Linked DNA regions of Saccharomyces cerevisiae S288C. Changing the gene in region 2 together with the main gene of any one other region gives a genetic interaction. Each region holds a gene or a part of one and is shown on either strand. Other genes may lie near its edges. The genes, in order: ADE16 and PMU1.

Evidence for each region.
Region 1: of PMU1 (region 2) and ADE16, extra expression of one rescues a mutant of the other (dosage rescue), as found in Saccharomyces cerevisiae (one study listed by BioGRID).

What each region holds. Positions count from the first base shown.
Region 1 is NC_001144.5:198,763-203,568, forward strand, and holds ADE16 (bifunctional phosphoribosylaminoimidazolecarboxamide formyltransferase/IMP cyclohydrolase ADE16), read right to left. Parts: upstream 2,554-4,806; coding exon 778-2,553; downstream 1-777. Other genes in the region: 60S ribosomal protein eL15 RPL15A, read right to left, coding at 3,214-3,828; YLR030W (uncharacterized protein), read left to right, coding at 4,528-4,806.
Region 2 is NC_001143.9:200,384-203,819, forward strand, and holds PMU1 (putative phosphomutase), read right to left. Parts: upstream 1,389-3,436; coding exon 501-1,388; downstream 1-500. Other genes in the region: phosphoglucomutase PGM1, read left to right, coding at 3,158-3,436. UniProt on the Saccharomyces cerevisiae protein: Probable phosphomutase that may have a function related to the manipulation of phosphate groups on carbohydrates. Reduces trehalose-6-phosphate levels when overexpressed in TPS2-deleted cells.

The DNA.
Region 1 (4,806 bases), on a different chromosome or scaffold from region 2:
CTTATTTGTAAAAAAAAAAGTAACCATAGTCTCGTGCTAGTTCGGTACTATACAGGGAAGGGAAGTCACTCGCATACGTGTGTGTGCATTTCTTGCTATTGCTGCTTAGCTTCTCTAAAACACTGGGCTAGCGTTTTTCAACGCTCGAGAGGCAGAGTCTCAAGGAGCCTCCAATGGGCCTCACGTATTCATCTAGATGGCGCTTCGGACAACGGCATCACATAAGAGATGCAGCTCCTGACTTCTCCTCTGATCTTCGTGATCAGAGTTTTGAGTCGTCAGACTACGAGCAGTTTCTCTTAGTCGTTGCATCGGGTGCTGTTGCCTTAACGATGTGTATATGGGGTTCGGGGGCTGTTGCCATGATATATATGGATGAGACAGAAGTGGCCCCGTTGACGAGTTTAACTTAGATTAAGTAGGACGCATGATCTTGAGCTCTTTTCCTATACTTTGTCCTATGGCCAGCTTTCTCCTTATTACGAAGAGATTGCGGGATGTGGGTGCAGAGTGGGAAAATCTGAGTTCGGTCATCTTTGTTGTTCGTCCTACCGCAGTATATTCCTAAACACTATGAAATGACCCTAGTTGGTCCATGATCATTTGGGTAAAACCATACTGCAGACATCTCTATAATTCACATATTCACATCTTGTCCTCTCGCAGAAGAGGAAGGCCTTTGACGTAGAAAATTAAGTAAATCGTATACGTTTACGTATATACACTTGTATTCAGCTATATATGTTGTTTCTGTTCTTCTCATAAAATGTACCCTACTTAGTGGTGGAATAAACGAATTGGGTTCTCCACGTAGACGATATCAAATGAATCCGCCGCTTGGAAGACAACTTTGTCCATGACAGACCCCGAAGGAGCCGTGATGAACTTTACACCAGACTGCACAGCTCTATAAACGTTGTCTGGGAAGGGAAAGAACGCATCGGATGATAACGATACATTGTTTAATTTGCTTAACCATTCTAGTCTTTCTTCTTTGGTGAAAGGTTCAGGGACTTCTTCAAATTTGCTTTCGTAATCCACCTTTTCCGGGCCTTCTATTCTTTGCCCTGTAACAAAAAGATCAATCGCATTCGACTTGTCCGCTCTCTTAATTCCCTTGGCCCACTTCATGTTCAAAACCTTTGGATGTTGTCTCAACCACCAGTTGTCCGTCTTGTCACCAGCTAATCTGGTACAGTGTATACGCGATTGTTGGCCGGCCCCAAGCCCCACAACCATACCATTCTTTGCGTAGCAAACAGAATTTGATTGTGTGTATTTTAAAACCAGCGTAGCAACAGTTAGATCGATAACGGCTTGCTCGGTAAGTGCTTTGTTTTTGGAGACAATTTCTTTGAAAGTGGATTGGTTTATGATCGCATCGTTTCTCTTTTGTTGTAACGTTACGCCAAAAACCTCTCGGGATTCCATTTGGCCAGGAACATAGTTTGGATCGATTTGTAAAATACAGTATTTTCCGTTTTTCTTCTTAGATAGTATATTCAATGCCTCTGGTTCATACCCTGGAGCAATAACACCATCGGAAACTTCTTTAGAGATGATTTTTGCAGTGGCGACATCTACAATATTGGACAATGCAATGAAATCACCAAAGGATGACATCCTATCTGCACCACGGGCCCTAGCGTATGCGCATGCCAATGGTGATAAATCCTCCATATCATTCACAAAATAAACTTGTCTTTCCACATCGGATAATGGAAGTCCCACAGCAGCACCTGCTGGAGAAACGTGCTTGAACGATGCTGCCGCAGGCAAGTTCAATGATGCAGATAACTCTTTCACTAAGGGCCATGAGTTCAAGGCATCCAAAAGATTTATATATCCTGGTGTACCGCAGAGCACTTTGAAGGGCAACTCCTCCTGCTGAGTGATATAAGCTTGTGCAGGTCTTTGGTGGGGATTACAACCATATCTTAGCGGTAATTGGGCTTTCCCTTCGGAGTACTGTTTCCTGAAAAAGTCAGAAATGGCCGCATCATAATCGGCCGTATGTTCAAACGCCTTAAGTGCAAATCTATTTCTTAAATCCTGAGAAATTTCACCGTCCTTAGACAGGTCTTGCAGAAAGATAGAATAGTCATTAGGGTCTGAAAGAATAGTCACTCTGGAATGGTTCTTTGCGGCTGCTCTCAACAAAGTCACACCGCCAATGTCGATCTCCTCTACAGCTTCTTGAACTGTAACACCAATTTTAGCCACAGTTTCTTTGAACGGATATAGATTACATACAACAAAATCCACCTTATCAATGTGCTGCTCTTTTAAATCTTTTTCATCGCCCTCTAAATTTCTGGCAAGAATACCTGCATGCACAGCAGGGTGAAGAGTCTTGACTCTACCCCCTAGCATTTCTGGTGCATGCGTAATTGAAGAAACATCGTCGACCGGAAAACCAGCTTCTCTGACCATGTTGGCCGTACCACCGGATGCTAGGATACGAACATTGTTCTCTACCAATCCCTTGGCTAAGTCTAATAAACCTGTCTTATCATAAACTGACAAGATCGCAGTCTTGGTATATTTGCCCATTTTTAGCTCTTTTGTTTTTTGTCCCTATTTATGGTATATTTGGATTCTTTGTTTGGAATGGGGTATTGATTAGATCTTGAATGTTATCTAATCGCTAAAAAGAGCAAGAAAAAAACACAAATGCTGAAAACTGGAAAAAAGGACGATCTATTTGCCAATTATTAAGGCTTATTCTTAAAGTGGAAATAGCCCTCTCTTTTGCTTTTCTTGAGTTTTATCTAATGGCTCTAATAAGGAAAAACGGGAAGAAAAGGAAAGAAAAAAAATACAAGAAAATAAGGTGCGACTAAAAAGAACATGGTGTTAATTTATGCGGCGGAGAAATTTACTTGAGCGTAAAGATATTATATATAAGTATTATGGTAGTGCCACCACCTATGTAAGCTGCTAGCATTGGTATACGTAGAACAATTAGGACTCCCTCGTCCGCTCCTTGATACAGGTAGATAAGTTCTGCCTGAGGGGAGGATTGAGAAGAGGGGGTAGGGGTTTGCTTGATAGCAGAATAAAAGTACAGCTCTAGGTCTATAAAAAAAAAAATTGGTTAAAGAAAAAATATACAGGTTTGTATATAGAATCATTAATTAAAAAGATAATAGTATAAAACACATCAGATAAACAAAAGTTTGCCCAATAAAATTATATTTTCCATCAACCAGCTTATTTTCTGTATCTCCACAAGGACAAAGTGTTTTGTCTCTTCCAGGTCTTTCTTCTACCAGCCTTGGTGTTGTTGAATTTGTGACCCTTGTTGATACCTCTGGATTTCTTACCAGTGGCAGTCAAACCTCTAGCTTCACGGTGCTTGTGAACTGGGTCACAGATCCAGTTGTAACGAGCATCTCTTCTGATAGCCTTGTGTTGAGGGTCGACCAAGATAACTTCGAAGTACTTGTAAGTAGAATCTTGGTTAACCCAGTAGGAGTTCAAGACTCTCAAGTTAGCGGCACGACGACCAACTCTTTCTTCAGCGGTAGCTCTCAAGGATCTTTGGTATTTCAATTCATTGACACCTTGGTTAGTTGGCTTACCGTAAGTAGCACCCTTTGGAACAGGTCTCTTTCTGTTACCACGTCTAACTCTGACACGGTAGATAACGAAACCTTGCTTAGCTTTGTAACCCAATCTTCTAGCCTTGTCTGGTCTAGTTGGTCTAGCGGCTCTGTGAATGACATTCTTTTGTCTGTATTCCCAGACTCTGACTCTTTGCAAGAATCTCAAAACATCAGATTGCTTCTTTCTTTGCAATTCTTCCAAATATTTGTAGGCACCCATTGCTGATTTATTTGTTTGATCGTGGTTTTCTTAGATTGTAAAAGAATTACTTAAGGATAGGGAAAGAAACGTGAGAAATAGCAGTTAAATGTACCGGTGGTAAAAATGCAATGCCATCATTCTTTGTTACCAAGCAAAAGTGAGAAATCTTGAAAAATTTTAGCACCTTTGAAAATTTTGCGTCAGCTCCAAGAAATTTCAGAAAATATATTCGACAGCTTTAAATCCGTACATTTATCAAAAAAAGAATATAATATCATGTTTGACGATGTATGCTATGTAAATCATGTCATAATACGCATCAATTGATACTACAAATGCATCTCGGATAGAGACATTGTCATGATAATCGCAACACATGTCGCACCTGGTGCATGTTCTGAACCTTAACACTAAATATTTAAACGTCATGTAGGGTGCGAGTCCATCTCATTCTTGCCCAATAAATTTTAGAAACACCCTCTTATGAAGGGCGGCAAAACATATTAAGTAAGTGTCGATTGTTAAACACTTCCCCTTTTTTTATGCATAGTAAAAGGTACAAAGAAAATAGCGTACCGTCCTTAAATCAATATAGAAATATAATGAAAAAATAAGTGCTTTGATAAGAATATCTTGAATACAAATTAAGAAGTGTATATTTATAGATATTTTCGTTTCAGCTTGTGTCTGTGTGTGGCCTTATATGTAATATATGAGATGGAAGGTGAACAAATTATGGAGTATGTTCAAGAGACACCGATCATTCCAAAAAGGATTATCCATTATTCGATTCCAAAACAAATGATCACAAAGCCCGCTCCCCATGTCGAGATGACGTTGGTAGCTAATACTTTTCGGGACATGGACTTGCCGCAGCATCCGGTTATCCATGATTGTTGGCAAAATAAAGAGTACTCAACTCAAAGATATTCAGGAAATGTGGCTCAACAGAGATTAAGTTTTGAGGAACATCCAAATGAAGAGTGTCAAAATTCT
Region 2 (3,436 bases):
TCAGTTTACCTTTAGTTAGAAAAGCGATGGAGCTAGCATCTTGCTACTATATAATAGTTGTTCAAGATCGTAGGTCTGCCTGCCGAGTGATTAGGGGAGGCTACTGAAGTTTGTTTTAATGTACCGGTTACATTTTCTTGTACGAAAGTATATGAAGGGGGCTTATTACTTCCAAGCCTATATTTTCTGTGGCATCGATTAGTATAGTATAAAAGAGGGAGTGGACATAGCGGTGAAAACTATACAAGAATAAAAAAGGAACTAAGAACCCTTTGCATTCATATAATTTCACATATGCATTTTTTATTTTATACTCAAATGTATGTTCTCACCTAGCTTGAGAAAGCGATGATCAAAGTGAAAGGTTCAACCATTTCTCAAAGTGCTTAACACATTATTTGAAAAGAAAGGGTTTTATTCCATCCACTCTATTATATCTATAAAAAATTATTTAAATTACCCACATATTTGAAAGTCCCGAATGGGCGCTGTGGGAAAATTCAGAGCCTGCCGCGATCGGCCGTGTTGACTGGTACTTCCACGACGACAGCGACGACTTTACCTGTGTCCAGGTTATAAATTGGAGGATGCTGTAAGTTTCTCAAGACACTTTGAATGACACCTGAGTGACAAGTAAGCGAGATGAATTTTTCTTCGCTTGACAATTGATTAAATAGTTCAAATAATCCATTCAGTGTACGTTTGTCCATTTCAGCACACGTTTCTCTATGATCAGGAAGCCACAATTCATCATCTTCTGGGTAATCTGGTACATATTGCCAATGTACAGTGTGGCCCGATTCCGTGCTGAAATCCTGGTATTCGTCAACTGCCATTGAGTGAGCCACTCTTTTGTCACAAGTGTGAGAGCCCAACGTCTCCCTTAGACCTTCTATAATGCGTGTAGAAATTTTAGTTCCGGCCGGTAATTCTTGCGTCTCCGCTAACACTGGTGTCCACGACTCAATGAATGTTTCGAGACATCTTCTCATTGGAGAACTGAAAAACACATGAGGTAGCATACCTAATTGCTTTGCCATTGGTAGCAAGACATTCGATCCTGTTCTTCTAACTTGATCTTTACCCAGAGGTGTCAGTTTAGAGTCAAGCCACTCTCCATGTTCATCGCCCGAAAGCAACGACCAATAGGCGTCCCATTTCTCCATACCGTACCTCAGTATGGCAGCATTGTGGTAACCTTGACCATGCCTAGCTAAAATCAACAGCTTATAGTGGCGATTTTTGGTATTTCTAGGGATAGCATGATACAGTTCCTTCCAATTCTTATGGTTAATCAATTCTAAGTGATCATATTTCGTGGAGTCTAATCCTTGAAAACCCTCACTTGGATATGCAGCAAAATATCCTGGGACTGCTCTGAGTGACATTGTTGAATAACTGTTGGTGATTTCACGCAGCAGAGTCTTGGAAAGAAATCGTTAAATAACATACAAATCTCTCGAGGGTTTTTTTTTGCAAATGACACTTTTTACTTTTTCCAGTACTAGCTAGCACCCGAAAAATTAACTTGACTCGCACATGCCTGCTGGGTCATATCCGAATCTGCAAGAAATTAGGATTACAAATATTTATTCAAACGTTGCACAACCACGCAATAGAAGATAATATCTGTAAATTTTAATCGCTTTCATCTGAAAACACTGAGCCTCTTCTTAATTTTCACGGACTTTTTCGCAGCCCAGGTTTGACCGGCTAAGTACGAACCTCTTTTGTTTGGAATAAGAGTTTGGTATTAATCAATTGTTGGTACAAAAGATTAATAGTATTACTTGTGTTTTCAGAATATAATTGTCCGTGAGCGTCCTAACTGTCATCGAGTTTATAGGAAGCTAATTAGTAAGGACTGACCATGCAAACCCAGCAATGAATGAAAGGATATAAACGAGGGAAGAAATGGTAGCAGTATTAAGTAAAATTGTCCATTTCCCCTCGTGAAATTATCCAAAACGCGGCAGAAGAACTTTTAAGTTATCTACTGTACATAGTGTTATTGTCCTCACGTGAATTGAATTGAAACTTTTTCAGAACATTATCGCTGAACTATAAATGAAATTTTGTAATGATTGTTCTGATCCCATCTTACTAAAAGCATTATTGTGAAGTATAAAATACAATAAATTTCTTCTCAAAAAAACTTGCCGTACATGATATGGAGAAATAGGTGAATTTAGGGATAGTAGTTATTATAATGAGCCTATTATAGAGAATCTATTATCGATTTCTAACGGTCGTATCAATCTGTTGTATTACGGGCTCGAGTAATACCGGAGTGTCTTGACAATCCTAATATAAACAGTCTTAGGGAAGTAACCAGTTGTCAAAACAGTTTATCAGATTAATTCACGGAATGTTACTTATCTTATATATTATATAAAATATGAATCATACTAAGTGGTGGAAGCGCGGAATCTCGGATCTAAACTAATTGTTCAGGCATTTATACTTTGGGTAGTTCAGCTAGGGAAGGTCGGGTTTTGTCTCATGTTGTTCGTTTTGTTATAAGGTTGTTTCATATGTGTTTTATGAACGTTCAGGGTGACGTATTGTCATACTGACATATCTCATTTTGAGATACAACACAATCACGTTTAAAAGCCTTGTTGGCGCAATCGGTAGCGCGTATGACTCTTAATCATAAGGTTAGGGGTTCGAGCCCCCTACAGGGCTTTCTTTTTAAAACAGGATGCTAAAGCCGACACCGTTCAAACACAAGTGGCAGCTTTTCTCGAGAACAGCAATGCCCACAGTTTTATTTACAATTTTACACTATTGACGTGGAGATTTTTTTATCCCGCATATGACCTAGTAGAGGATCTCTGTCTTCCCCTGATAAATGTCAAATGTATGACGTTACCACAATTGTATCACGGTGGTTTCAGTCTGTCATGAGGAATAAGGGCATTCAGTACCGACAATGCTATACTTGTAAATAGAAAAATGATGTTCTAAAATCGGCATTCTCGCTATTTGAGATTTTGTCTTTTTTTACCTGGTATTTCGCGTTTATATTACGGATGCAAGAAAAGGAGAAGGGCGCATCACATCGATTTTGGTCTACCTATAAACATTCTCTCTCTCATCCACTTTCGGTTCAATAGTGCAAAAATAGGTAACTAACAACTCAATTGAATAGTAAATGTCACTTCTAATAGATTCTGTACCAACAGTTGCTTATAAGGACCAAAAACCGGGTACTTCAGGTTTACGTAAGAAGACCAAGGTTTTCATGGATGAGCCTCATTATACTGAGAACTTCATTCAAGCAACAATGCAATCTATCCCTAATGGCTCAGAGGGAACCACTTTAGTTGTTGGAGGAGATGGTCGTTTCTACAACGATGTTATCATGAACAAGATTGCCGCAGTAGGTGCTGCAAACGGTGTCAGAAAGTTAGTCATTGGTCAAGGCGGTTTA